Linked DNA regions of Arabidopsis thaliana. The protein of the gene in region 3 binds, or shares a complex with, the protein of the main gene of each other region. Each region holds a gene or a part of one and is shown on either strand. Other genes may lie near its edges.

Region 1 (8,477 bases), on a different chromosome or scaffold from region 3:
ACAACGCAGTGATGGTCTTTGACATCTACCATCCGCTAATGCGAGAATTCTTGCAAGAGTATGCCACAACTTTCGACGGAAACAAATGGGGATACAACAGCCCTTACCTAGTCTCTAGAGTTATCAAGAGATTAGGAAACAAACCTGGATACAACAATCTCACAATCTTTTCTCCCGATGCTTTCTATCCAGTAAACTGGATCAAAATCCAAAAGCTTTTCAAGAAACCTGCAACCACAAGAGAAGCAAAATGGGTAGAGAAGACAGTACAGGACATGAACAAAGGGAGTTACATGATACATCTGTGGAACAAAGTCACAAGGAAGATTAAGATTGAAGAAGGAAGTGTAATGCACACTCTCGTCTCCACTCACTGCACAGTCTGCGGAAACATCACAAACTCTCACATTTAAAGATCCAAACAGAGACAGATGATTCATCCATCTGATCTATCTAAGTATATAGATTCTCGTTCTTAGTTTGCTTTACTTTTTCAATGTAAAAGACTCAATGATTCATAAAGAAGCAAACTTTTCATAAAAAGATGAGAACTTTGGAGATGTTTTTAACAACAAAAGAGTCGTAGCATCAAAGCTTTTCAAAAAACAAATTAAAATTACAGTGAGAGACAACAAGTGAAGAATCTCATATTTCTAATTAGAGAAGAGAGACTCGTCGATATCGATTTTGATCTTCTCGTCGTTCTCAAACTTATCTTTCCTCGGTGGTGCTGGAGGAACCGGTACTCTCTCCGGTCCTCTTCCTTTGCTCTTGTTTCTTGGCCTCGCCTGCTTACATAAACCCCAAATTCAAAACCAAAATTGCGAATTTGCAAAGTAAAATTACGAAATCGGAAAGAGAAATTTGATTACTTACATTCCCAAAAGAGTGATTGAAACGCTTTCCTTTAGCTGTTTTCCGGTCACCTCTGCCACAGTACACTGCGAACACCGGAAAAGTTACGCCATTGACGAATTAAGAGAGAGTTAGATAAGAGAGGGAGATTACCGAGTGGAATTGAGCTGGATGAGGAAGTGGAGAGAGAGAATTGATGAGTGAAGCAAGAGAGAGAGACACCGGCAGTTTCAGAGTGAGAAGATGATAACCGTGAGGAAGGTAATGCGACGGTGACTCGCGGAGGAGCTCCGAGTATAAGCGACGCCATCGCCGTGTGCTGTTTTCGAATTTGTTCGAAGAAGAAGATCCAGAAGAAGATAAGGCAGTGAGAGTAGAAAAACGATTTTAGGATAGGCTTTTAATTATCTTTTCATATTTGGGCTTTAATTTCAATTGGGCTTATTTTAAAGCCCAAATATATCTAAACCCTACACATGCTTGTCACGTGTGTAATCGACCTTGTTCTTGTTCTTGTTCTTGTTCTTGTTCTTCTTCGTCTTCTCTTCGGAGCTTTTTTCTTCAGATATCACCCAGATCGTAACTTTTGATCTTCGAATTTCACAAAGCTCAAACTTTTGGTAAGTATTCTTATCATCTCATTGATCTTGGGTTTCTAAAAAGTTTCAATTTTTATAATCACATCTCTTTCTAAATCTCTCATTACTTGGTATTTAAAATCTGTGTGTGTTTTTTTCATTCTTATGCTTCACAGGATTCTTTACTAATCCTATTGTCACATAACATCGGTAAGCTCTCTTTTTTCTGAACTCTCAAATCTTCTATAGCTCGCTTTAGCCAAAGTCGTTTGCTTTAGTAGAGTGTTATAGATTCTGCTTCAGCTGTTTATTTGAGGCTTTGAGCAATCTGAGTTTGTTATGAAAACATTGAACTTTCAATTCTGAAACAATCACTCAACTTCGATTCACAGAAAATGATTTATATTCTCTAACTTTGCATTATGTGTTTCATCACTTCCTATAGGAACAAGATCATCAATGTATAAACAACTGATCAGAAGTTCATATTTCTCTTTGTAAGTATACAATTCGGGATCTTGATCACTTCTTGCAATGGAGAAAGAGATGGAAGATAAAGAAGAATTCGATGAGGGTGAGATTGAGTACACGAGTTATGCTGGTGAGCATCATCTGCCATTGATTATGTCTCTTGTTGACCAAGAACTTAGTGAACCTTACTCCATCTTTACTTACCGGTACTTCGTCTACCTCTGGCCGCAGCTATGCTTCCTGGTATTTTGACACTCAGCTTTCGATTATCGTTGCTTTACCCTCATGATACTTATGTTTTGATGGATTTATGAGTAGCATTTGTTTTGTTTCTTTTAATAGGCCTTTCACAAAGGTAAATGCGTAGGAACCATAGTCTGTAAGATGGGGGATCATCGACAGACTTTCAGAGGGTACATCGCTATGTTGGTTGTGATTAAACCATATCGTGGCCGAGGCATAGGTAATACTTGAGCTAGTGCTTCCTAACTTCTTACAGAATCAGATTTTGACTGTGGGAGTAGTGTTTGATCTACTGCAAATACATGCCTCTCTTAAGGTTCGATAATTTTGTGTGCTGACTTGTCATTGTTTTTTTACAGCCTCAGAGCTTGTCACAAGAGCGATAAAAGCGATGATGGAATCAGGCTGTGAAGAGGTATGCTGTTCTTGCATTCTCACTTCTCTCTTTATTCCCACTTTGGAGAACTTAGATATTTGGTAGCACTAGAGTGATATCCTTTCCTGGTAGTATAAATGTAGATAAGACCTTATGAACCACCTTTTCCGGAAGGTTATAAGTCCATTACATGTCCTGAAATAGTGCCTCCTTTTTATCTACTAGAATAGAATTTCATAGCTGAGGTGATGTAGCTGCCTTTAATCATTGCAAGTATACCTATTGCTTTTGATTGTTTAGCTAACTGTGTGTGTAAGTTTAGTTCCACGTATAAAAGTAGTTAATCATACTCCTAAGAGTTGGAACTTTTCGATATTCGTTTAGTTACTAATTTTGTAGTGGAAATCAAAATCCCAGTCTCTCACTTAGTATACATATGTTGTATAAGTCTTGTATGTAGTCCATGACTCTTTATAGTCACACGCATTGGAATGTAACTGATAGTAATATAAAATAAGAAATCCCTGTCTCCCACTTACTAATTGCGTATTCGACGAATCATTTTCTGTTGTATGTGTGATCTCTTAACTGTAATCTCAGTAGTAAATAGATTGGAAAAAGAACCTCGTGATTGGCATTTGCTCTTCAAGTTCCTCATAATCAAGCCTGATTACAACATGAGAGTATGGTTGTCTGGTTATGCAATCTAATTAATGTAAAGATGTATGGCTGAAGGTAACTCTGGAGGCAGAAGTGAGTAACAAAGGAGCATTAGCACTATATGGGCGACTCGGGTTTATAAGAGCCAAACGGCTATACCACTATTACTTGAATGGGATGGATGCTTTTCGCCTGAAGCTCTTGTTCCCTAAGCCTCGTGTACCTCAAATACCTTCTCAAGTTCAAACCCAACAAGAGTATGAGACCTTTCCTAGGCCTCGTGTACCTTAAGGCCATGAACGAAGATGTGTGTTTCTTCAATGTATTCTAAATCCTGAACATGCTAAGACTATGTTCTCTTTCGTATGAAGAAATATTATGTGTTGGTACAATTCTAGTCCCATGTTTATGAAGTATTCTCGACTGGAGTAAGCGATTAATCTGGACGTTTCAACGGTCTTGTGTGTCTACAGAAACAATTTAGCATATTCATATCACTTTGTGGTGTGCGTATATACGTTTTTAAGGTCTCTCAAACTTGGTTGATGATTGGAAACAAAGATCTAAATGTTGTTACAAATTCATATAACCACTTAACTTAACCTAATCGTCTCAGGCTACTCCTGACTTCGAGTTAAGTGGATGATATAGAAATCGAGATGTGAAGTGATTTTCAGCCATCAAAATTTTCAAACAGCTCTATATACCTCAAAAGAAATCCAAGATGACAAAAAATTGATTTAAGGCCAAAGGAGAGAAAGATGCCAGTCAAATGTTATGAAAAGACATGCTTGAATAATTGGTATGAGATATTTTATGAAATACTTTTATTGCATACCGTATTTTACTATAAAACAATTTTCTTTTCACAAACACAACCATCTTAGATTTATCCATGTTAGCCGAGATTTTTTTTGTATCCAGATAGTCCACTTTACAAAAAAAAAAAAGTCTAATATAAAGAAGAAGAAAAGCCTCAAATGTAGTTGCAAAACTCACATGGCCTAAATCAGAACAAATTAAAGACGATTCACCACTCGCCACATAATAGTTTATTGACAATTTGAACCCACTCGTTACCAAGGGTCACTAACCAAACGTTACCAAGGGTCCTACTCCATATCGCATAATATGACTCACATTCACTTCTTCTTTTCTCTTTAACGATTTTATGCTATTAGAAGAAACATTTTTGCAAAGTTCTTTTTTATTTTGACCCCCAACAAAAAAAAAGTCAGATGGAAAGTACAAGAATCGGACTCTGGATTCAAACGAGAATATTAGTTAATAATTTTACATATATAGTTATAATCTTTGGGGGCAAAGTACATGTGAAAGCAGAGCATATGATAAGGGGTAAACGATTGAGTACGAATGGAACGAACACATGCCATATTTAATATGAGGGACAGGAACGGTCCTCTGATCCATTCTTTTGATCAGAGAGAAGATGAAGAGTGTCAAGTAAATAATGGCACGTGACTCGGACGAAGTATCCACGTGCGTCCTCTCCCCACACCCATGTGGCCCATAGGATATATGACCGGCTCCGTCGGTCCAACTTGTCCATGTTCCCCTATTTAATTTTTAAACACACCCTGCCGTTAAATCAAATTTTCCAAATAAATTAAAGTGTTATTTCAAAATTTTAATGTAAACTTAGTAGTATTGTCGCTGTGCTATGATCAAAACTGTATAATTAAAAGATCTAATAGGATCCTAAAGAATTATCTAGTATCGGAAGATATTGTTCATGGTAAAATAGTTTATATAAGTCTAATTAGGATAAATGTATAAGATAAGAATTGTTTTTTGTTACTAAAGACAAGTAAAAGGAGAGAAGACGATACATTTTCTTAGCCTATTGTTTTAACAATACCAAATTAAGAAATCACACACTACATATTATCGACTATTCAATTTTAAAAAAAAAACTAAGGAGTGAAAACAAAAATACAAAACCCCAAAAGAGAAAAAAATAATTAAGAGCTTAGCACGCATTTAAAGGGGTGTGTAAAAAGTACACTATTTTCGTGACTTTTACTCCCTTCACGTATACGAACACAAAACACAAAAGAAGAACAAATAATTTTAAGAACCCTCCACAAACGCATTAGAAGAACCCTGACTCGATCTCTCAAAGACGGTGGTGTAAAGCGGAGACCGGGGCATGTGCGGCGGCTGCAGCTGGTTTACATTGGTAACACTTGGCAAAGAGACCAAAAGTGTCGACTTGACGAACAAAGTTGGTTACACTAGCCCATCCACCGAACCCAAATCCGACTATAAGAACCCAAACCACCACGAAAGCATTCAACACGTACATCGCCGTCCAGCTCGGCATAAAGAACGGTGGCTTCTCCGCCGCATTCTACAAGAAAGATCCAAAACACAAAAATAATCAGAGAACCATTAAAGAAATAGAGAGTGTGTAAGTGTTTTAGAGTTTTGGTCGTATAGTAATGGACAAAATCCAAAGCTTTGTTGACCCATGAGATAGAGAGAGAGAGAGAGAGATATGATTGTGATTTGTCATACTCAGACTCTCACTTTAGATTAATGTTAGGCATAGAGTCCCTATTGTACAGCTCCTTTTCATTTCTGATTATGACTCTTACCTATTCCTCTCCCCTATTTTCCTCTACTTTTATCTTACGTAAATTTAATATACACTGTTTTGAAAGAGAGAAAGAAAAAGAAGTCATGGTCAATTACTAATACTAACCTAACCGGATATTGTATTTTTTCTTCTAAATGTAACCAAATAAAGAAATGGCTGAAACCAACTCAATAATATATTATTTGGAGGGGACGCCAGTAAGGAATGTGGGTGATGATCCTATCTTCCGTAAGATACGGAACACTGAACCCCATCTATCTTCCACAAAAGACGTTTTTGCCCTCCAATTTCACAACCCTACCCCCCAACTATAATATTCCTCCACCGACTCTTCATTTCATTTCTAAAAAATTATTGGTAACTCAATGTATTTTAGGTTAAGTTCGAGTTTTGAAACGCTAAAAGAGAGTGAGCTAGTAAAGATGTTATACCTGACGAGCGGAGGCAGATCGGTAAGTGAGCATGTGAGCGAGAGATGGGATGATATAGACGGTGAAGCTAACAAGAAGAGCACCGACAGCGGAATTGATTGGACCGAAAAAGGGGAAGATAATAGCTAAGAACCAAATAGGTATGACCACAGGCAATCTAGCCAAAGCCCTTAAGCAAATGCTCTTTGTGTCATGCATCCCAATCACTTTCTCCCACACAAAGTACAAAGGTGTACAAGCGAACCCGAACGTTATAAACTGCACGAACAAGAACACGTTGCATTAATCTCTCATGATCAAAATTTACTTAAAAAAGAAAGAACAAAAATGTTGTATGTGTATACCTGATGAATGAGCATGAGGATAACAGCGGCGTCACGCCACGCGTTCTTGGGCATAAGAGAGAAAGCGTTGGAGTGGTCGAGAAGTGCGTCTCCGAAAGCCCAGTAAACGGCGGCAGCTGACGGAATCGTTAGCGTGAACACGTATAACGTCGCCATCAAGTAAATGTACTTAAACTTCTGTGGTTTCCACATAGCATGCATAATCTCACTGCAAATTAGAAATTACTGTTAATATTCATAATTTCATCCAAAACTTTAACTATGTAAAAGATTGGATTCACAACAATCATTGACGCATAAAAAGGGTGTATTTGACATTTCGCAAAAGCGTACTATTCCTACTAGTAGTAGTAGTGCTTTGGTAGCAATAGTGTTTGTTATTCTTTATAGGGATAGGAATAATAATGGTTATTCTATTTTATATTTAAAAAGAGCTTATTTTATTAGTACTACTATTTTAAGGATTGCTAAAAATAATAATGACAATCATGATGACTGTAATAATAGTTACACCTTATTTGCCGGCAAAAGCTGCAATAGAAGCGGCGAAGAAACGATACAGCAGCACCCATAATTTAATAATATGGCACCATTTTAATTTACCATATACTTTTTCTGCCATTTAGCTTTAACTTAAATAGTAATTCAACTATGTCTGACAAAATTTATTGATCTTTTATTAGATACAAAATTAATAATCATTAAGAAATCAAAAGAAGAGTAACTTACACAGTAACCGCGTGACCTCCAAAGGTGTACAAAATATTTGTGGCTCCCGTAAAATAAAGCACTAGCTTTGTTGGACCTGAATGTTTCACACCTTCCGCCTAAAATAAACAACAAAAAAAAAATTTGATTAGGAGAATATTAAACAGCTAATTTTGTCTAAGTTATATTATACATACACTTTTTAATACAAATTTGGGTTAAGATGCAAAGAATAATCCCTGATCTTAAAGAGAAAATACGAATTTTTTTTATTCTTCTTTTTAATTAAGGCATATACTGTCACCTCAATGCAAAGCATATAAATATGAAAACGACAGTGTAGTGATCTTTATAATGTGATGAAATATATTTTTGGTGAAATATATTAAAACATTACCTGGCCGTGGATGATGGAGGCAATGGCTAAGTACCAAGCGGTGTAAGTGGTCATTCCAAGGCCAAGGAATGACCAAATTCGGTAATTGTGAAACGACGGTATAAAGACAGTGGTTGCACAACACGCGCCAAATATGTAAGTCCATGTTCTCTTGTCCAGATGATCGTTTATGTAATAAATGTTACTGCAAGTAAACACCAATCATATTTCAATTATCCTCCATTCTTAATCATTAAAGAGTGATTAAAAAGATAAAGAGAATGATTAAAAGATAACAGACCTGGCACAAGCAATGAGTTGGATAACAGATCCAAACAAGAGGAAAGTGCAATTAAATGCGAGTCCTAGTGCTTTCCAGTATGAACCAAGTAATCCATCAAGTACTTCAAACCACTGTTGAGATTTTTAAAAGTGTTAGATTAGTGAAAGATAATTATGATTTAGTGATTCTGATTAGAGAGAGAGGGTTTAAAGAGGGGACCTGAATGACGTGGTTTTTGAAGCTTTTGCCTTCTTTTTCTTTACGAGCTCTGTATTCGACGTAGAGAACAGAGATGAGATAAGCAGTCCAGCTTCCTAGTAAACCATAGAAGATCTGAAGTACTATTCCTGATAACATTCCTAGTTGACTAAACGAGTACGGTAATGTCAATAACACTTGAGCCACCTGAAACCAACGATAATTACTACAAATCAGATCTTTCTTCACTATGAGAAATCCGAAATTTTGAATCTTTAGTTTATGGTTTTATTGGTTTACTTGGTTAGATGCGCAGCTGAACCAAGCGTCCCAG
Region 2 (9,130 bases), on a different chromosome or scaffold from region 3:
ATTGGGACCAAGAACAAATGGCTGTCCTGAAGTTGTAAGAACATATCGACCACGGTTTTTGACAGGCGCCCAAACCTGAGCAAGAACATGTTGTTGTCCAGTAGATTCCTTGAAGTATCTAAGCGCTTGAGTCATCTTGGCTTTGATGGCACAGTAACTATCTGGATTCTCCAAAGGCATTATACCCCATGACGGAGAAGGAACCTGATTATTCTCCTTGGTCGTGGTTTCAGATTCAGAACCTGCATTTCATTTGATTCTATAAATTCCAGATCTAAATTCTACTAATCCGTGAAGTTCCAATAAGATTCCAATGAAGGAGAATATTACTATCCAGAGATTGAAGCATATTCACTACATTATCTGAATTGGATTCTAGAATCTAAACTTTGCATGAAGACTTACTAGCGAGTAAGACGGAATAATCGGTGAAGCGAGTGGGAGCTACTGCGGCGGAGTAAAGCTCGCCGCCGACATCTCCAGAAGTTTCGGAGAAGGACCAGAGAGGAGAGAAAGGTTGTTCGGAGGAAGAGAAAATGACAGGAGACTTGAAATTTGAAGCAAAAGTGATCTGATCTAACGGCCAAGAACCGCTGAGATCCAAGTCGTCAAGTTCCATCAACAGCAGCAGCAAAGACGTAAGACGAGACAAAAACTCGTCAGAGTAAGTGTTAATATCTCCGGAAGTTTCGCCGGAGCTCCTTTTGAAGCAAAAAAAAACTCTTCTGATTCAGCTTCTTCAACAGAAAGAGAGAGAGAAGAAATAAGAGGAGAAGACAAGTTGTAATATTATTTAAATTGGGATTTAAATCTTTTTGAGATAAAATAATTTGATTTTGTTGAAGACATTTGATTCCACGCTGTACCATTTTACCCCAACCACTAGAATATCTCCCATTTCATGCAAATTCTTTATTCTTTGTATTATTTTCTTTAATATTTTTATGAGACAAAAGGCATCGAAATTTTGTTTTTCTATTAATACTAACAAACTTGAATATTAGAACATTGGCCAAAAAAAAAAACTGTATTGATATTGATTGACCATCTCTAGAATATTGGCTTTGACAAAATTCGATATACATAAAACATAAAGGTGTGAATAAATACTATTAGACTATTTGAATAATCGTTTTTAAATGCTGTGATACGATTCTATTTTATTCCAAATGCATTGTTTCTGCCAGAGGCGAATATATGGTAAAGGTTTGTTTTTATCACATTTCAAAAAACGAATTGATTATGTTATATAGAGTAGATCTTTAGACGTTTCTTACACGTCCACCACCATGAACAAAGTTGTCATAGCATATTTTATGCGCCTAAAAGCTTTAAAAAATATTAAATTAAGACGTAATTAGGCACTAAGTGCGTGTTGTGGGTGAGTAGAATAACAACGACTACTATAATTTATTCAATAATAATGATGTTCTTAGCAAATAATTATGATAAACAATGCAATAATTGACGACAATGAAAAAAACGAATCTCGCTTTGGGAGATGAATAAAAAAGCGAGGACATCTAATCGTGATTATTCTTACTCAGCCATTTTCAACTACTTACCCAAAGTGGATCCTTACTTAAGCCCTTTTGCAATACATAAAATTTTTATTAACAGTAACTTGTTTTCCTAGTGGGGACATCTAATCGTGATTATTCTTTCTTTTAATGTTATAATAACTTCCCTAATTTGTTATTTAGCTGTTAATCAATATTTTAACCCCAAGGAGAAGAAATGCTTGCAACGTAAATCCCCACTTGTTTCAAGTTGATGAGTGTTTGGCAATTGACAATTGTGTGTCCCTTGTTCTGTAATGACAATCCTTCCTTCCTTCTTCCATATTTGGACTAGGTTGTTCATCAAAGGAAGGAAGGCCCCGGCTACACTACGTTAGAGGCTCTCCAAATCTGTCCTTTTCATCCACAACTAAACCAAACCCAAATTCAAATAACCAAACTGAACTAAAACATTCCACCGCAAACCAAACCGAAATTGAGTATCCCGGACCACGGTAACTCTGAATTCCAAACTATACCTAGTTTTGAACACCCCTAGAATTATGGACATCATGTTCAAGCAAAGCATCAAAGTGAGGAGGACAGAGTCTCCAATTGAAAACGAGTGAACACTAAACAATAGAATATAACGTAAAAGGATATGGAAAAACAGATTGATATCACAACAAAGTCTCATTGACCCGGAGAAAATACTGAGTCGCTCAATATCGGTCATTACATGATAACAAAGTTTTCTGACCCAGAGATTTCCAGGAACATAACAGAAGAGAAGAGACAAGCAGTGAGAAAAGTCGAATCTTACACGATACGCTCCAGCTCTCTGGCGTAGCTTAGAGTCTGGTTGATGAGTTGCAGAGACGGAATCTCTTTGCACGGTGCAGTTTCTTTGGCTTTCTGGAAGACAACAAACCCTTCCTTCACTTCCCACTCAGGATGCTCCTATAAGATTTGATAAAACCTAAATCGCGTCAATGGTTCATGAAACTAAAAAAGATTCTAAACTTTGCACAAAATGTTTTTTCTCTTACATCTGTGACATAGGTTAAGAGTTCTTGATCAGAAGAGAACAACAACATCTGCCGGGCATCGCTGATAGAGACATAATCATAAGCTTTCTCGCTGCATCCAGCTATTTCATCTCTGTGAATTCAGTCATAACAATAAAAAGGTGAGATAACACGCGAGAAGACATAAGACTGAACTAATTCAGAGAAGGACAGACTCATTGATGCTACCTTATGGTCTTTGCCAAGAGATCCATGAAATAGACGTAAGTTGCATCAGGCGCGGTCTGTCTAGCACTCAACACACGGTTATAGGCACCCTCCATGAAGGATTGCTCAAGCTCTACTGCATGCTTGATGCAAGGATCCTCTAGTGTAGCTGATGAAAGTAATTCAAGCTCGGTGTGGAATTCAGCAATTCTATTTTGTACCAGCAGCCTCAGAAGGTTAAGACCCAGGATAAGATTCTCCTGTGGAGACTGAGGAATACGGTTCCTGGTGCAGAGGAAAAGAAGATATGTTAGACCAAAAGAAAATGAAAAAGATAATGTTCAGACAGTTGGTTCTTTCTTTACCTGGCATCCACATAGTAAGGTTTCAGCTGGAAGAAATCTCTCTCAAAAGCATCTTGATCCTCGGTTTTGACGCTTAGAACAACAGCATGCTCATAAATGTCCCCTAGAATACACCAATTGTCAAAGTTTTAGAAACGGATAATCAATAAGAACAAAAATTACCAATAACTCAATCCAAACCAATGCAGCATTCAACGATTAATGTATACATATAGGGATAGACAGACAAACTAAAGCAGTACAATCCCTCAGACACTCTTCAGTGGTATTTAAGTATAGTTAACAAATAACTCATGAGAATAGACAAATCCAAAACACTCCATGCAATTGAAAGCAAAACTCTAAACTTACTAGCAAATAGCTCATGTAAAACCAATAATGAAAAAGAGAAACTTACTTGCAATAGTCAATTCCTTGGCTGCATTAGGTGAATTCTCGAACAATGGAGGAAGACTTGTGAATTTGGTAAGAAGAACCTGAAGAACACAACAAAACCCCAGCGACATCAGAGACTCGCACCAGTAAATTGTAAATCTAAACCAATCCCAACAATCCCTTAAAGTAGAAAGTTAAAAATTTCATAGCACTTAGCTCTTCTAAAAGATCCTTAACACACTTATATGCTAAAAATTCTCACTTCAATAAATCAAAGCTCTCATAGATTTAAACTCTCGCGACATAACCCATCAATTTTCCCAAAGTTGGTTCAATAAGCAGATATGCAAAGAAGTGAATTGAAACAAATTAGGGTTCAAAGAAGAGAGAGAGATGTAGACCTTAAGCTGAGACAACAGATCGCTACAGGTATTGTAATCCTTCCTCGCAAACGCCGCCTTGAATCTCTCGAACTGCTGTGAAACTTCAGTTAGCTGCGGATCCATCGCTTCTATGGTTTTTTCTCTTCACCGGCGACGATTCTTTTCTTATAGATTTGATTGCTCCGAGAACTGGCTTGATCGCGAAGACAAATAATACAGATAGAAATAATTGTCTTTACAAAACGGGCCTTTAACAGGCCCAATAACCTAAAAAGGCCCATGGTGTACAATAGAATTCTGACTAATGTGTACCATCATCATCTCTTATCCAAATTTTACTCTCTCATCTCCTCTTTGCTTTCACAATCTCACAACAATGGCGTCTTCGCTGTGTGTATCAAATTCCACAATTTGCCCTCTGCCTAATGTATCTTCGCAGCCGCTGCTATCATTCTCCCACTCTCTCAGGCCATTCATTTCCAAGTCGAAACCTATGTGTGCCTCGATACAGAAGAGAGATGGCTCTCAATTTGTGGTGAAATCTCAGGCTCTTGACTTCTCTGGAACTTTCTTTGAAGGTGGATTCGGGTCGGATGATGACCCGACTTCTCCTTCCGGGTCGGGAGTCTCAACTGCCCTTGAAGACAAACCGGAACCTCAGTGCCCACCTGGGCTCAGGCAGTACGAAACAATGGCGGTTTTGAGACCAGACATGTCTGAAGATGAACGGCTTGGTCTTACCCAGAAATACGAAGAGGTAAGTAAAAGTCTCCAACTTTACCTGTTTTCTGTTTCATGTCAGAGGGAAATTTGATTATTTGAGAGAGAAAGAGATTTTAGGATTCAATTAGAAGTTGAGTAAGAGATCACTAAAAGTTGTATCTTGTGTCTGTTCTTACACGTTAATGACAAAGCAAGAGAAAATGGTTTCAATGTAGAGTTGTGTAACTTGCAGCTATCAATTGAATGTTTGTGACGACTCCTTGTTAAAATTGAAGTAAAGAGTTTAACTTTCTAAGAGCAAATCTCATCCTTCTGTGGGCTGTGAATTCTTTAAGTCTCAACCATTTGAAACAAGATAGGAGCCCTTAGTGCACTTCTTAGTTTTTTAGTCATGTTTTACCATAACATTTTAACTCAATTCTTGAAATGTCCTTTGATGCTCGAAACGAGCTAATACACAGTTATCATTTGTGGTTTACGCGTGGGTTCTTTTACGCTATATCACATGTTTAATCTAATGAGGAATTCTGAAATTTATGTTCGGAGTAGTGGAAGTTTTTAGTTGGTGCAGACTCTGAAAGATTCATTATGTTGCTGGGATTTCTTTTTGGTGTGTGTGGCAGTTGCTTGTGGCAGGAGGTGGAATGTATGTGGAAGTGTTTAACAGAGGAGTGATTCCGTTGGCTTACAGCATAAGAAAGAAGAACAAAGCTGGAGAAACCAACACTTACTTGGATGGAATCTACCTTCTCTTCACTTACTTCACCAAACCCGAATCAATAGTTCCACTCGAGACCGTTCTCACTGCCGACGATGACATTATCCGATCATCTTCCTTCAAGATAAAGAAGAGGAAGTACAACTGAAGACCATGAACATTGTGTATGTGAGAAAAATGTCAGATTCTTTTTTTGTTTCTTTGTAAGAACAAAAGTAAATCTATCTTTTTTGTATCTTTTTTTGTGCATTGCTCTGCTTTCTTATGTAACTGTGAGAAACTCTTAAAGCTAAGTTTGAGAAGCATACTTGTATGCATTTTCATTAAAAGATTTTAACTAACACTAACTTGCCATAGTTACTATAATGATGGAATTCATATTACTCTGTTTCATAGCACAAAATCCTCAACGGATGCATAACAATCAAACAAAATAGCAACAAAGAACAAATTTGTAAAGTATTCAGGCAGAAGTGACTTTGTTTGCCAGCTTTTACCTTCTGACGATCCAAACTTAAATTAGTGAGATTGTTGAACTCCTTTACGTAATTGATCAAAACCATCAACATATACGAGTGAGAGACCTTGCAAGCTTAGCATTATAATGGTTCACGTTCATGCTTTAACATTTTATGAAAATCCTAGCATAGTTTCAAATCATTTTCAATTCCACAAAATCAAACGTGTCACATACATATAACAAAACAAACGGGACAAAGTATATTTGACACACCTCTATTTGCTTGTGTAAACTAATAATGTTCTTAATTAACAAAACACACGGGACAACGAATCAATCCATTCTCATTACACTTGACACACCTCTCCCACCTTTCACCTTTGGCCGCCCCAACCGCCGCCACCTTACAGCTTCCGCCGCACTCGAAACAAGGCAACCACCTCGCTCCTCCGCACCCTTCACACGTGAGCCTCCCTTCCTCCCCTACTCTCTCCACACGTGCCCACCGCAACACCCTCCCTAACTTCCCGTTCTCATTCATCGCTGTCACTTCCGCTGCTCCTCCCAAGTACCTCCCTTTCACAAACACTCGCGGCGGCGCCACTGATGCTTCGTCTTGGAGAAGCTCCTTAAGCTCGCTCAAGACTCCGGCGTCTAAAGACACGTCCCTCTCGTCCACCACAACTCCTTGCTGCTCCATGATGGCCCTCACACGCATACAATCCTCGTACGTGCGACGCACTCCTTGCAACGACGTCGTGTAGACAATCAAACCTTCCCCTCCTCCCGGCGGACACTTCTCCGGGAACTCCCTAAGTGGGTCCCAGTTCATCACCGGCTTCTTGTTCCCTTCTTTCTCCCTCCGTTCTCTGTCTCTCTTGACGAATATGTTCTCCTTCACTGACCGAGGCCCCGAGTAGGACGACTGAGTGGACTCGGTTCGATCATCTGACTCGGGTCTTAGCTTGGACATCGACTCGGTTCTCTTAAGCTTAACCATTGTCGTCGGGATTTGCGCGGCGATGCTTCTTTTGGCCCTCACTTCAAGCTCGTCCAGTGTGTGGAACGATGCGCTCTTCCGCGGAAGCCGCCGTGGAGGAGTCGCCGGAGGTTTAACAGAGTCTACTTCCGGCGGTTTAACGGCGGCAGGTTTAAGTTTAGTTTCTAGAGATTTGCTGACTTCTTCCCATGTTTTAGGAGCGTCATCACCATCATCATCATCATCATCATCATCCTCGTCGAGACGGTCGAAGACGGTGGAGCGTGGCGGTTTCTCATCATCTTCATGTTCAAATTTTAGCCATGGCTCTTGGATGGCGTTGACATCAAACACCGCGAAACTAGACGGCGGTGGTTTGTAAACGTCGGCGACGACGTTAGCTTTTGCTTGCTTGGAAGATGTACACCCCATTTTAATAACTCTTCAAATTTTGTTCAGTTTTCTTTGTATATGTTTTTGTGTTTACTATATGAAGAAAACAAGAAAATGATGGGTAGCATTTTGTGTGGTCTAAGAGCATTCTCTTATCTAAATATTTTTTGCATCAATTTGTATCCTTCCTAGAATAATGCTTAGTATACAATTGTGGATTTATTCGAGTCCATGAATATTTGTGAAACGATCATAATAAGAATTAGAATGACGACCACCACAAAGTGTGCTTGTGGCTTCAGTGTAATCTACGTGGTGAGTCAATCATATTCTTGACAATTCAATCTTCTAATTGTCGTCTCTCCTAAATGCAAATATGTCAAACTCTACCGAAGAAAGATATGCAAATGTCATTATCATTTGAAGGGTCGATACAAAAATAATGCATTTCATAACACAAAGAGAATATATAGCATTGGAAAAAGAGGTTTCATTTTGATATACTTGAATCTTTTGAGTATCACAATTTCACCAAAACCAAGTTTTTCTTTGGCAAATTAAATGTCCTAATGAATTAGACAATCATCAATTTTTTAAGTAACAAAACATATAACTATTGATGGAGCATGTTACAGAGTCTGATACACTTTGACTTGAAGTGTAGTATCAATGGCTAAAACACTAATTTCAACTAAAGACATCATTCATCGTTGAAATTACACAAAAACCTGAGCAAAGATGAAATTTATCTGAGATGATAAAATTTACCTAAGCAGGTGATGACTCTTCTTCTTCCACCTTCTTCTTTGCCTTCTTCTTCTTTTTCTTCTTCGTAGTCGTCTTCGTGGCATTCTCGGTTACTTCTCCATCAACATCTTCTACAATCTGAGTATGAAGCTTTCCCATCTCAGTATCGATTGTCATAATCGCCTTCTCGATGAAACTATCGACGGCTTCTCTGACGATGATTTTGTACGGATCTCGCGAAAGATCGAGATTCAACTCAGATGAAGCTTCTTCTCGGGCCTTAATCTCTGTAATCTCAAGTAAACTCGACCGTTTCAGGATCTTCTTCACCGTTTCCTTGATCTTCTTCTTCAGATCATTGTCGATCACCACTTGTCTCGCTTCTTCTTCCTCCATTGATTTTGATGTTGAAGACGGCTAAAGATCGACCAAGCCTAAGAAAAACACACTTGAGGGTTTCAAAGAGAAAATTCAAAATCTCTGTTGTGAATGGGCCGACAAATGGGCCGACAGTTTGTCTTAATAGATATCATGTTTTAGTTCTCAGAAGAAATGATAGCTCTTATTTTGATGATCGACTATTATCGTTGGCTTATTGCAAAGTACAAGCAAGTGCTGATGAAGCTAGAGGATAAACTGAGGTCTGCAGAGGATGTTACAAAGGCTAATTAATGGTTTTGTGAGGGAGACCATCGAGTCTTTAACATTTCTAACCTGTGGAAGTCTCTCTTTGAACAAGAAGCTGGTGAAGCATCACCTCAAGTGATAAGGGATGAATTGTTAGCGACCTGTTTCAGCCTATTTTGGGTGAATCATGCCATAGCGAGATACAGAAACTACCTGTATACTCTCCTTACGTTCTAGGATCAGAATTTTTCATCAACTCACTCAGGTTACATATATAATAAAGTAAGTCTTTCTGTTTTTGACATTTTTGGTTTTTGTTGTTGTTGTTTTGGCAGATCGTATTTACCAATTCATTCACCCATTATCCTTATCAGTTAGCATATCAAGTTGTTGGACCATTATAAGTGCGCTTTATGTGATCATTCTTTCTAAAACACACCAAATTACTTTTGAAAAATCTATATCTTGATGATCAAATTCATGATCTATAATATATACATGTGAATCATAATCTTTCCACTTGTCTATGATAATAGTTATCCGCATCTAATCATATCTTACAATATTTGTCTCTGAGCACGTGATATTGAAAGATCAAGAAGCTTTTCATAATTCTTGGATTCAAT
Region 3 (3,808 bases):
TCTATTGGTTCTGTTAAGGTAGCTATATGCTGTGTATTATCAATGATTTCCACAGCGGGCGGTAAAATAATGTCTCGAGCAGTTATATATCCAGGACCTTGGACACAAATAAGCGCGTTGCGCGTTCCATATAGATTACTTCTTAATACAATCTCGTTCAAATTCATTAAAATTTCATGTACTGATTCTTGAATACCTGCTATGTTAGAATAGTCATGTGGTATGTTCTCAGATTTTGCACGTGTAATACATGTTCCTTCTATTTCGCCAAGTAAAGCTCTTCGCATCGCAATGCCTATTGTGTCGGCTTGGCCTTTCATAAGTGGAGACAGAATAAAGCGTCCATAATAAAGACGCTTACTGTCTCTTTTTGATTCAACACACTTCCACTGTAGTGTCCGAGTAGATACTTTGACTTTCTCTCGAACCATAGTAATTTTATTTGATCAGATCGTTGAATCGTTTATTTCTCTTGAAACCCTTTTAGCCTTTTTTTAGTTCTATACACGTCTTTTTTTAGGGGGTCTACAACCATTATGTGGCATAGGGGTTACATCTCGTACGAAACTTAAAAGTATACCGCTTCTACGAATAGCTCGTAATGCCGCATCTCTTCCGAGTCCAGGGCCTTTTATCCTTACTTCAGCTCGTTGCATACCTTGATCCACTACTGCTCGAATAGCATTTCCTGCTGCGGTTTGGGCAGCAAAGGGTGTTCCTCTTCTTGTACCCCGGAATCCACAAGTACCTGCGGAGGACCAAGAAATCACCCGACCCCGTACATCTGTAACGGTTACAATGGTATTGTTGAAACTTGCTTGAACATGAATAACTCCCTTTGGTATTCTACGTACATTTTTACGTGAACCACTACGTGTATTTTTACGCGAACCAATTCTTAATATAGGTTTTGCCATTTTTTTTCATTTCACAAGAAATATATGGATATATCCATTTCAGGTCAAAATAGACCCTTTTTTCCAACTCTTTGGAAGTGCCTTTTCTTTTACTTTAGTTCCTTTAGTAAGATTATCCTTGTCTTTGTTTATGCCTCGGGTTGGAACAAATTACTATAATTCGTCCCCTCCTGCGGATTAGTCGACACTTTTCACAAATTTTACGAACGGAAGCCCTTATTTTCATAGTTGTTATTCCTTAATTCTGTGAATATATTTATTGGTGGACGAAAAAAAGGTTTCTTGATATTTTTGAATCTTGAATTGTATCTTCGTGAAAGGAATGGTTGAAATTGAAAAAACACTTACTCATTTGAATACTTATTATGGAGTCTAGAAAATGGCTGTCCCCTTATTAACTTATACTTAAGAACTTACTCAAAATTTTACCTTTTTATCCTATAGGTATACCTATACAAAAATATGTCGAATCCTTTCAGAAGCATGAACGAAAAAAAATCTTTAGTATCTAAACAAAATCGAACCATGCCGTTCGGAAGTGATTAAGAAAGAAAACTTTTATTAATTCATTTTTTCTTTAATTTCATTCGAAGTAAAACATCCGAAACTTTTTTGAACAGGGGTGGTATTACACAACCCCCTTTTTTCACAAATTGTAAGTTACAGATATCTAATTTTTATATTAGAAGGATTACCATATATAACACAAAATTTCTCCGCCGATTCTTTTTAGTCGAGCTTCTCGGTCTGTCATTATACCTTGAGAAGTCGAAAGGATTACAATTCCTATTCCGCCTAAAATTCGTGGAATTCGTTGAGAGTTAGAATAGATTCGTAGACCCGGTCGACTTATTCTCTTTAAATTTAAAATCGTTTTGTAGGATTCTTTCTTATTTCGTCTATGTCTTAGGGTTAAAATCAAAAAATATTGGTTGTTTTCGCGATGTTTCCTTACGTTTTCGATAAAACCCTCTCGTAAAAGGATTTTAACAATACTTTCCGTGATGTTAGTCGATCCTATCCGAACCGTTCCTTTTCTATTCATGTCAGCATTTCGTATAGAGGTTATTATATCAGCAATGGTGTCTTTCCCCATGATAAGTTAAAATTCCTTATTGTTCTATAATTTTGATATAATCAACATGTTCTTTTTCTTTTATTTATATATAGATATAGACGAATTATATATTAATATATGAATTAAATTCTTAATATTTTATTATTAAGGGTATATGCGTGATACAGAATCTATTAATTAATTTTATTTCAATACCTGTTTTTTTAATCCGATACTAACTATCGCTATCGATATTTAGATCTTATAATACCTCAGGAGCTAATGAAACTATTTTAGTAAAGTTTAATTGTCTCAATTCCCGTGGGATCGCCCCAAAAACTCGAGTTCCTTTTGGATTTCCTTCTTGATCAATGACAACTGCGGCATTGTCATCATATCGTATTATCGTCCCATTGTTACGTTTGAGTTCTTTACAAGTACGTACAATTACAGCTCTAATCACTTCTGATCTTTCTAGAGGAGTATTTGGTATTGCTTCTTTGATTACAGCAACAATAACGTCACCAATATGAGCATATCGGCGATTACTAGCTCCTATTATTCGAATACACATCAATTCTCTAGCCCCGCTGTTGTCTGCTACATTCAAATAGGTTTGTGGTTGAATCATATCATTTTTTTTGTATCTCTTCTTTTAATGCAAAGGACGAAGTAAAAAAATATTGTTTGTCAAAAAAAGAAAACTTATAATCTTTTTACCCTTAAATGTTATTTAGTTTTTTCATTATATATTCCTATTCAGAAATAATGAATTGGGTTTTTATAGGCATTTTTGATGCCGCTATTGAAATAGCTTTTCTTGCTATATTTTCGGGTACACCACCCATTTCATAAAGGATTTTACCTGGTTTAACCACAGCTACCCAATACTCAGGGGATCCTTTCCCAGAACCCATACGCGTTTCCGCAGGTCTTACTGTAACTGGTTTGTCTGGAAATATACGTACCCAAATTTTTCCACCACGTCGTACATTTCGTGTCATTGCGCGTCGCCCTGCTTCTATTTGTCTAGATGTGATCCAAGCGGGTTCAAGTGTTTGAAGAGCATATCTGCCAAAACAAATACGATTCCCACGAGAAGATATTCCTTTTAGTCTTCCTCGATGTTGTTTACGAAATCTGGTTCTTTTTGGGTTATAGTTGATGGTTCTAAATTAGAAATTCCATCTCTACTACAGAACTGAACGTGAGAGTTTCTTCTCATCCAGCTCCTCGCGAATAAAAGGACTAAAAAAGCTTGTATTAAGATATAGTTAATGATTAATTCTATTAATCATGATATTCAATTTCATCTGATCTCTTCTAAATTTGTGTATGTCTTTTTCGAAATGGAATCCAAGATTAATTCTATTTATTTAAAAATAACGTAACGTAATATCATCATCTCGAATGTCGTTTTTGTTAGAATATTCTAACAAATCCTTATTTTCTTTTATCTTTTTAATTTTTGTTTTTTATTACTTTTATTAAAAAAAAAGTATTCGCCGGCGAATATTTACTCTTTCAATATCTATATTAAGTTTGTTGTTTATCCCAGGAGATCTCTGAATAAAAATAAGAATAGATAATAATCTGGTTTATTCCGCCATCCTGTCCAATGAATTACTAAGATTTATTTTTCAATAGAATCCTCTATATTCATGGGTTCCGTCGTTCCCATCGCTTCTTGATTAATCATTAGGCCCGAATTCTACAATGGAGCTCTTATATGAAATCGGGAATTTCATTTTTTTTATTTGTTTTTGAGTCAATTTTCTTAGTTTTTATTGGCTCAAGGCTCTTAATTTTTTTTGTTTTCGGAACAGATTTATCT
Region 4 (8,211 bases), on a different chromosome or scaffold from region 3:
TGGTTCCAAAACCGCCGCACACAGATCAAGGTAATGTATATCTTACGTGATATGGATTTTTGTCTGACTATAGTAGTATATATATAGTTTATGAATCAATCATGCATGGACAGGCTATTCAAGAACGGCACGAGAACTCCCTGCTCAAGGCGGAACTAGAGAAGCTGCGAGAGGAAAACAAAGCCATGAGGGAGTCTTTTTCCAAGGCTAATTCCTCCTGCCCCAACTGCGGAGGAGGCCCCGATGATCTCCACCTCGAAAACTCCAAACTGAAAGCCGAGCTCGATAAGCTTCGTGCAGCTCTTGGACGCACTCCCTATCCCCTGCAGGCTTCATGCTCCGACGATCAAGAACACCGTCTCGGCTCTCTCGATTTCTACACGGGCGTCTTTGCCCTCGAGAAGTCCCGTATTGCCGAGATTTCTAACCGAGCCACCCTTGAACTCCAGAAGATGGCCACCTCAGGCGAACCTATGTGGCTCCGCAGCGTTGAGACTGGCCGTGAGATTCTCAACTACGATGAGTACCTCAAGGAGTTTCCCCAAGCGCAAGCCTCTTCGTTTCCTGGAAGGAAAACCATCGAAGCATCTAGAGATGCGGGGATTGTGTTTATGGACGCACATAAACTTGCCCAGAGTTTCATGGACGTGGTACTTTTCCATTATTTATTACTGTTACCAGCTACTATAACTTATTCTATGTGTATAAAAAGGAATTGATGTGTACGTGTAACGCGCAGGGACAATGGAAAGAGACATTTGCATGCTTGATCTCAAAGGCTGCAACGGTCGATGTTATCCGGCAAGGCGAAGGGCCTTCACGGATCGACGGGGCTATTCAGCTGGTGAGTACTCATCAATATATACATATAGTGATAATTGATGAATGACGACTCAGCTGATACATGGGATGGATATGGTTTATAACTATTGTGGCAGATGTTCGGAGAGATGCAGCTGCTCACTCCGGTCGTCCCCACAAGAGAAGTGTACTTCGTGAGAAGCTGCCGGCAGCTGAGCCCTGAGAAATGGGCAATAGTGGACGTCTCGGTCTCCGTGGAGGACAGCAACACGGAGAAGGAGGCTTCTCTTCTGAAATGTCGAAAACTCCCCTCCGGTTGCATCATCGAGGACACCTCCAACGGTCACTCCAAGGTCACCTGGGTGGAGCACCTCGACGTGTCTGCATCCACAGTTCAGCCTCTCTTCCGCTCCTTAGTCAACACCGGTTTGGCCTTTGGGGCTCGACACTGGGTCGCCACCCTTCAGCTCCATTGCGAACGCCTTGTCTTCTTCATGGCTACCAACGTCCCCACCAAAGACTCTCTCGGTCCGTCTATATATCCGGATCCTCCATTTACACTCTCTATCTTTCTTTATATATAACCTTTTCACTCCTCTGTTGATAATCAGGAGTTACAACTCTTGCCGGGAGAAAGAGTGTGCTGAAGATGGCTCAGAGAATGACACAAAGCTTCTACCGCGCCATTGCTGCATCAAGCTACCATCAATGGACCAAAATCACCACCAAAACTGGACAAGACATGCGGGTTTCTTCCAGGAAGAACCTTCATGATCCTGGCGAGCCCACGGGAGTCATTGTCTGCGCTTCTTCTTCGCTGTGGTTACCTGTTTCTCCAGCTCTTCTCTTCGATTTCTTTAGAGATGAAGCTCGTCGGCATGAGGTACCTTGTCAAATTCACACACATTTAAGCAAACAAGAAAAGCGGTTTCCACTCATATATTTATCTAACGATACATATCATCAGTGGGATGCTTTGTCAAACGGAGCTCATGTTCAGTCTATTGCAAACTTATCCAAGGGACAAGACAGAGGCAACTCAGTGGCAATCCAGGTGCGTTTATTTTGTCTTCTCCTCCTCTAAATCTGTCTAGGCCTTGATAATCTGAATTTCTATACATTTCCAGACAGTGAAATCGAGAGAAAAGAGCATATGGGTGCTGCAAGACAGCAGCACTAACTCGTATGAGTCGGTGGTGGTATACGCTCCCGTAGATATAAACACGACACAGCTGGTGCTCGCGGGACATGATCCAAGCAACATCCAAATCCTCCCCTCTGGATTCTCAATCATACCTGATGGAGTAGAGTCACGGCCACTGGTAATAACGTCTACACAAGACGACAGAAACAGCCAAGGAGGGTCGCTCCTGACACTCGCCCTCCAAACCCTCATCAACCCTTCTCCTGCAGCAAAGCTGAATATGGAGTCTGTGGAATCCGTGACAAACCTCGTCTCAGTCACACTACACAACATTAAGAGAAGTCTACAAATCGAAGATTGCTGATGACAAGTCACAGCAGATATTATTTACCTATATATAATTATATGATAATGTATAGCAGCAGTGCATTAAAGTTTTGTACAAAAACGACCAGCTCTCTCTTCTCCAATCCTATTATTATCCAACACCTTTTTGGTCCATTCCATTGGCAAATGAACCATAACAAGAGGAGCAAGAACCGTAGAATTAGCAGAAACAAAAGTCGGATCACTGAGACCACAAGCACACAGTAGCAACAGAAACATATTAATTCACATTCTAAATGTAACTGGAGGTGAAGATGAAGTAAGAGCAAACAATTGGTAGTCGGAAACAATCAGATTGAAAACACACTCATGGCATAAGCAATGAAATCACAAAAGCATTCCATAAATTACACTGGTTCCGGGATACACAACAAACAAACAGAAGCAGAGCAAAAAAAAGACGGCTTTACCAAAAGAAACAAAGAGCAATCATTCTCTACGCCGGCTGCTGAGACTCCAAGGGAAGGCCAAGGAGTTCATCTCCTCCGGCTTCGGCTTTCCTGGCGGCCCTTGCGATGACAGGAAGCGCCACAAATGATTTAGTCTTACTGATGGGTCTGCTCTTTTCCAGTCTGACCACGTCGCCAACCTTGAACTGATTATCGGGGTCGTGAGCTTGGTACTTCTTCTTCATCCTCACGCGCCTCTTGTACTTGGGGTGGGGAGCCAGCCTCACCACCTCCACCGCCACAGTCTTGTCACTGGTTGCGCACACCACGCGCCCCTGCATCGTTTTCATGGCTCTGATGACCGGAACTAAAGCGGGCATTCTGTGGTTCGGGAAGGAATTGGGCTTAGAGAGAGATGAGAGAGGAGTGGAGCCATGGGCGAACGGAGACGAAAGCTTGAGAGCTTGCAGAGATGAGGTTAGGGACGACGTTATCATCCTTCCGATTTGGAATCGAATCGATGAAAATGAAGATAAGGTGAGTACTACTACTATTTAGAAGGGATGTATACAGTATACAGATGGTAAATGGGTTTTACAATAAACTGGGCCTAATCTTAAAAGCCCACCTTTTCATAAAAAGGAATTTACAAAAGCCCTTTTGTAAAGTTTTTGAATCCTAAAAATAATTAAATAATCAATAAATCTGTCTTCGCTCTTTTTTGCGCCTAATTTTCCACACAAATATCAATGCCGTGCCGTTGGACTCTTGACACCGCCTAGGGTTTCGAGGTATGAGGTCTTCTTGGTCGTGACGACGCTTAGCTTCTCCTTTATCAACGGATCATCCGGTAGATCCTTCTTCGACTCCAATTCGGCGTTCGCGGCCTGATCGAAGTCCCATCCCATGAAATCCGACAGCGTCATGCTCCCAACCAGCGTCTCTTCCTCTGCTTCCAATGGCGTGTTCCTCTTGTTCCCCGCTCGATCTGCCTCTAAAACGTCATCGATTCTGGAAAGTACCGTGTAGGCCAAGCTTTCCAGTATTCTCGAGTAGCTCTCCAGCACCGCCTGGCCCACGTCCTCGTTGAACTGGATTTTGCTGATGTCGAGTGAAGATTGAGAAATCCCGGGGTATCTTTGCTTGAGAATGAGCAAAATGGTCTCAGCTCGCTCTTCGAAGACCTCTCGCTTCTCCAGACTTACTCCGGAGGCCCAGGGTGCCGATGATTTGTTGTCTTTATAAACCATTTTGCGTTTCCATATAATGATTGATGCCTCGATTCTGTTTTTGAGGTCCACGATCTTGTGCTCCGACGACATGTCCATGCTGCTCAGGAACTGGTCCGGGTCAAAGAAGTCCACCGTTATATTCTTGTACATCTGATCCCCGAGACTCGCCCTCCCGTTCTGTTTATTTATTTATTACAAACTAAACAAGTGAGTATTATTCTTCATCAACTCTTCTAATCAATAACATCAATTGTTGGTGTCTTTTTTTTTTTTTACCTTTGGGAGAGAGTCGATGTAGCTCTCAGGTATCTCCATCTCGAACAAAACCTGTGCGTTTATGGCCATGGCTGCCTTTAGAACCTGGTTTACACAATCTTTCTGGTACTGCAAAAACCTTCTTGAAGCTTCTGATAGACCATCTGGTGGAACTTTGACGGTCGGAATCCACCATTTTTCGTCGTTTCTCTTACCGTCTAAGTCAGGGGAGTCTTTTGAGATATAGCTGAACTCGCTTTGGTCCTTGAAATTTTCTAGACAATCCTAGGTAGAAAAGGGGGATAAGAGGATGCTTTTGAATATCCTAAATGAAATTATTAAAGTAGGGTTGATATTTGGTCAACGAGAGAGAGAGAGAGAGAGGTCTTACGATGAGCATGGCGTCCAGTTTCTTCAATGCGGGGATATTCATGTGGAGGTCAGTACGTTGGCGTGTGGTCATTATCTGTTAAATCAATACCAACAGAATAAGGGAATCATTGTATGTTACCAAATGAAATATAATGCAGCAGCAGCAGCAGATAGACAACCTCCATATTGGTCCCATCTTTATTTTTCTGCTGAGATGGAGCAAACTCAACCACGTAATCGGTCACGGAGAGAAGCCAATCAATCTCTTTTCTCCATCTTGCTCTTCTTTCTGCAGGCATTGGCTCCAAGCGCCGTTGCTCTCCGAACACGGAAGCTATACCAACAAGATAAACATGAGATATTGGTTGCTGGTTAATATAAACTAAGTGTAATAACAAAAGAGGGTCCTAAAGCAACCTGCAAGGTTTGTGATTGCGTTTGAAAGGGCGAGAGCAGAGGATACTCCTTTGCCTCCACCGGAATTGTCCTCTCCCAGCAACAGCTTGGAGAAGCGCTCTTTCATCTGCTCCATGTCTGCCAAAAGCTGCCTTTCTCTAGCCTGTGAGGCGGCGAGGGCGGCGAGGACTGCTTCATCCGCAGCCGATCTTGAAAGTGGTGGACCCTGACTAGGATGAATAATGGTCAATGGTTCAGCGTCATGGGATCCGGTGGCAGCCTCATCTAAACCGGTCTCGACGCTGAGACTCTTGTTGTGTCTCGTAGCACTATTGTTGTCGTTGTTCCTCCATTTGAAATTGAAGAGCCTGCTCCTATAGGTTTCCTGTTCTTGTTCCGAAGCACGAACCATTCCTGGTCTCTTGATGGCAATAGAGAATTAGAGAGGAGAGAGAGAGAAAGAGAGAGGATCAAATGGGCCTCTCTTGAGATGGGGAGAATCAAAAGGGAAGGAGAAGCTAATCGAGCCGCAAAACAATAAAGGGTAATTGTTACAGTGATTTTGGCTTTGAGAAAATTGTGGAGCTTTCTTCTTTTGCTTCCTTTTTTTGGAAGATGGGACGTGGGGCGCATGTTTCAGACCACACCTCTTAATTTTAACTAATCATTATTTAGGATTTTGAACATTGATAATTAGAGATAGAGAGCCGTTTAAATTATAAAATGTTATCATATAGTAACATACTAAAATGTGATTACACCCTTGTCACTGGATTCCCTAAACATGCAATGTCAACGGGGAATCTGCTACGTTTCCATACACATACAGTGTATGTCTTCTTGTGTTTGTATCATGTTCATGAATCCTACAACAATTTGCATGAATATCATCAAACGTGCAATGTTGTCTTTAAACATAAGTCATGATTTCGGAACCAAGAGGAAAACTTGAAAAGGGTCATTTAGTGGCCCATAAAAAGCGGATAATATCAATTATGGGCCCAAAAATAGGCCCATCTTTATCGTCAACCTCCGATAAATTATACACAGACCTCTCACTGACTCAATCATTTGCAGAAGAAAAATAAAAAAAAAAAACAGAGAAAAGGAGATATGGAATCAATCGGAGTCCTTATGATGTGCCCCATGTCCTCCTACCTCGAGAACGAGCTTGAGAAGCGCTTCAACCTTCTTCGCTTCTGGACTTCTCCGGAGAAATCCGTCCTCCTAGAAACTCATCGGAACTCCATCCGCGCCGTCGTTGGGAATGCTTCTGCCGGCGCCGATGCTCAGCTCATCAGCGATCTGCCCAACCTTGAGATTGTATCCAGCTTCAGCGTCGGGCTCGACAAGATCGATTTGGGGAAATGCAAAGAAAAAGGGATCCGCGTCACCAACACCCCCGACGTTCTCACCGAAGACGTCGCAGATCTCGCCATCGGGCTTATCCTGGCTCTCCTTCGACGGCTGTGTGAGTGCGATCGCTATGTAAGGAGCGGAAAATGGAAGCAAGGTGAATTCCAACTCACTACCAAGGTTTCTACTTCTTACCCACTATTGATTGATTGGAAAAGAGCTCTCTGCCCTATCTTATCTTTGGTCTTCTATCTCTGCTTTAGCGTCACATTCTTTCTTTCTTTTGGTTGACTCAGTTTAGTGGAAAATCCGTGGGGATCATTGGTCTAGGTAGAATTGGGACTGCCATCGCAAAGAGGGCTGAAGCCTTTAGCTGCCCAATCAATTACTACTCAAGAACCATTAAGCCTGATGTCGCCTACAAGTATTATCCGACGGTGGTTGACCTTGCTCAAAACTCAGACATCCTCGTCGTCGCATGCCCGTTGACCGAGCAGACCAGACACATTGTGGACCGGCAGGTCATGGATGCATTAGGAGCTAAGGGCGTCCTCATAAACATTGGCCGTGGACCACATGTTGATGAGCAAGAGCTTATTAAAGCTCTAACAGAAGGCCGCCTAGGTGGGGCTGCCCTTGATGTGTTTGAGCAGGAGCCTCACGTGCCCGAGGAGCTCTTTGGCCTTGAGAATGTAGTTCTCCTCCCTCACGTTGGGAGTGGCACTGTGGAAACACGGAATGCCATGGCCGATCTTGTCGTGGGTAACTTGGAAGCGCACTTTTCTGGGAAATCACTTCTGACTCCGGTCGTCTGAGTCATGTGACACATTTGGGATTTGGTTTCACTTCATTTGAAAGGTTTTTATGTTAACGAACTCATGAAAAGGGTAATTTCTCTTCCAAAAGAAAGTTGCACTGTCGTATATAAGGAACGGATTTGAACACTAGGCGAATCCTCTCCGTTTTATGTCTCTTACTCATCTTTCTTTTCACAAAGTATTGGTCTAGTATACGAGTGGCGCATACGGCAATACGTCAAGTCATTAACCATCCCAGACCAAAAAACGTTTACAAAACTACTCATAGATGTCAGTCAAGTGAAGCAATATCTATTTTGTTGAGAATCAGCTGAACCTAAAAAAACGTAGAGAAGAGGATGACATAAAACAAAACCCAAAACTTTAATTAGGGCTCCTTTCGGGCCTTCTTGGTAGGTTGCACGTTTTCAAAACACTCATCTTTGCCTTTTTCCTTTTTGTGACCTTCTTTCCTGATGCACATTAACAAAGAATCTTGGAGTTAGGTTGGTAAACAACCAATGAAGTACCAGCAAGGAGAACAAATGAGTGGTGGTACAAGCCAAATCCCAAGTATGTTCCCTACAATGAAGAATAAACAAGGTTTGGTTTGATGTCATACCCTCCTTCCAGCTCAGCTGATGATAGTCTTTTCCACAACTCTCTCTCCATCTCCCCTGAAGGCCATTAGTACACTAGTCATTTTCAACGTTTCTATGATTAACTCCATTTCTTTGGTATAACTAACACCATGGAATTGCCACCTTACCATTAATTGCTTCTAAGGCTACTGAGAAGTTATTCTTCACAACTAAACCTCCAACAAACTCCACAGCTGCACGGGCTTTCATTGCTGTTTCTGAATCTGTGAACCAAACGTAACCCGAATCCAATCCACCAGAGTATTCTATGTGCTGCAGTAAGCACAGGAAAAGATGATAACTCAACAATCACTTTTTAAGGGATTGGTGGTTTGACAAAAAGTGTTGCAACTTACTTCAACGCTGCCAAATCTTTGAAAAAGATCCTTGAGAACCTCAGAGCTGACAGAATTACTGTTGTTCCATGGGGGAACCACAAGT

What was found.
Region 1: rps11 (region 3) and PSRP4 share a complex: the UniProt entries of both Arabidopsis thaliana proteins name them as parts of the 30S ribosomal subunit.
Region 2: rps11 (region 3) and AT1G64510 share a complex: the UniProt entries of both Arabidopsis thaliana proteins name them as parts of the 30S ribosomal subunit.
Region 4: rps11 (region 3) and RPS17 share a complex: the UniProt entries of both Arabidopsis thaliana proteins name them as parts of the 30S ribosomal subunit.

Annotation. Positions count from the first base shown.
Region 1 is NC_003071.7:15,973,636-15,982,112, reverse strand, and holds PSRP4 (plastid-specific ribosomal protein 4), read right to left. Parts: upstream 1,266-8,477; 5' UTR 1,166-1,265; coding exon 1,009-1,165; intron 942-1,008; coding exon 877-941; intron 789-876; coding exon 654-788; 3' UTR 501-653; downstream 1-500. Other genes in the region: AT2G38150 (alpha 1,4-glycosyltransferase family protein), read left to right, coding at 1-413; ATMAK3 (Acyl-CoA N-acyltransferases (NAT) superfamily protein), read left to right, coding at 1,968-2,147, 2,247-2,367, 2,507-2,562, 3,259-3,474; AUX1 (Transmembrane amino acid transporter family protein), read right to left, coding at 5,321-5,554, 6,235-6,492, 6,579-6,786, 7,308-7,405, 7,684-7,867, 7,964-8,076, 8,165-8,350, 8,444-8,477.
Region 2 is NC_003070.9:23,951,309-23,960,438, reverse strand, and holds AT1G64510 (Translation elongation factor EF1B/ribosomal protein S6 family protein), read left to right. Parts: upstream 1-4,134; 5' UTR 4,135-4,161; coding exon 4,162-4,614; intron 4,615-5,203; coding exon 5,204-5,446; 3' UTR 5,447-5,636; downstream 5,637-9,130. Other genes in the region: AT1G64530 (Plant regulator RWP-RK family protein), read right to left, coding at 1-242, 406-619; RPN12a (regulatory particle non-ATPase 12A), read right to left, coding at 2,319-2,459, 2,549-2,660, 2,756-3,019, 3,100-3,202, 3,497-3,575, 3,876-3,980; AT1G64500 (Glutaredoxin family protein), read right to left, coding at 6,063-7,169; AT1G64490 (DEK, chromatin associated protein), read right to left, coding at 7,899-8,273. UniProt on the Arabidopsis thaliana protein: Binds together with bS18 to 16S ribosomal RNA.
Region 3 is NC_000932.1:78,460-82,267, forward strand, and holds rps11 (ribosomal protein S11), read right to left. Parts: upstream 918-3,808; coding exon 501-917; downstream 1-500. Other genes in the region: rpoA (RNA polymerase alpha subunit), read right to left, coding at 1-431; rpl36 (ribosomal protein L36), read right to left, coding at 1,030-1,143; rps8 (ribosomal protein S8), read right to left, coding at 1,609-2,013; rpl14 (ribosomal protein L14), read right to left, coding at 2,237-2,605.
Region 4 is NC_003070.9:30,038,705-30,046,915, forward strand, and holds RPS17 (ribosomal protein S17), read right to left. Parts: upstream 3,249-8,211; 5' UTR 3,219-3,248; coding exon 2,769-3,218; 3' UTR 2,539-2,768; downstream 1-2,538. Other genes in the region: GL2 (HD-ZIP IV family of homeobox-leucine zipper protein with lipid-binding START domain-containing protein), read left to right, coding at 1-30, 114-650, 740-844, 939-1,329, 1,413-1,684, 1,769-1,855, 1,929-2,309; ROPGEF12 (RHO guanyl-nucleotide exchange factor 12), read right to left, coding at 3,468-4,130, 4,230-4,493, 4,600-4,674, 4,760-4,914, 4,998-5,388; AT1G79870 (D-isomer specific 2-hydroxyacid dehydrogenase family protein), read left to right, coding at 6,090-6,512, 6,629-7,147; La2 (RNA recognition motif (RRM)-containing protein), read right to left, coding at 7,518-7,602, 7,752-7,806, 7,899-8,043, 8,127-8,211. UniProt on the Arabidopsis thaliana protein: One of the primary rRNA binding proteins, it binds specifically to the 5'-end of 16S ribosomal RNA. Required for optimal plastid performance in terms of photosynthesis and growth. Required for the translation of plastid mRNAs.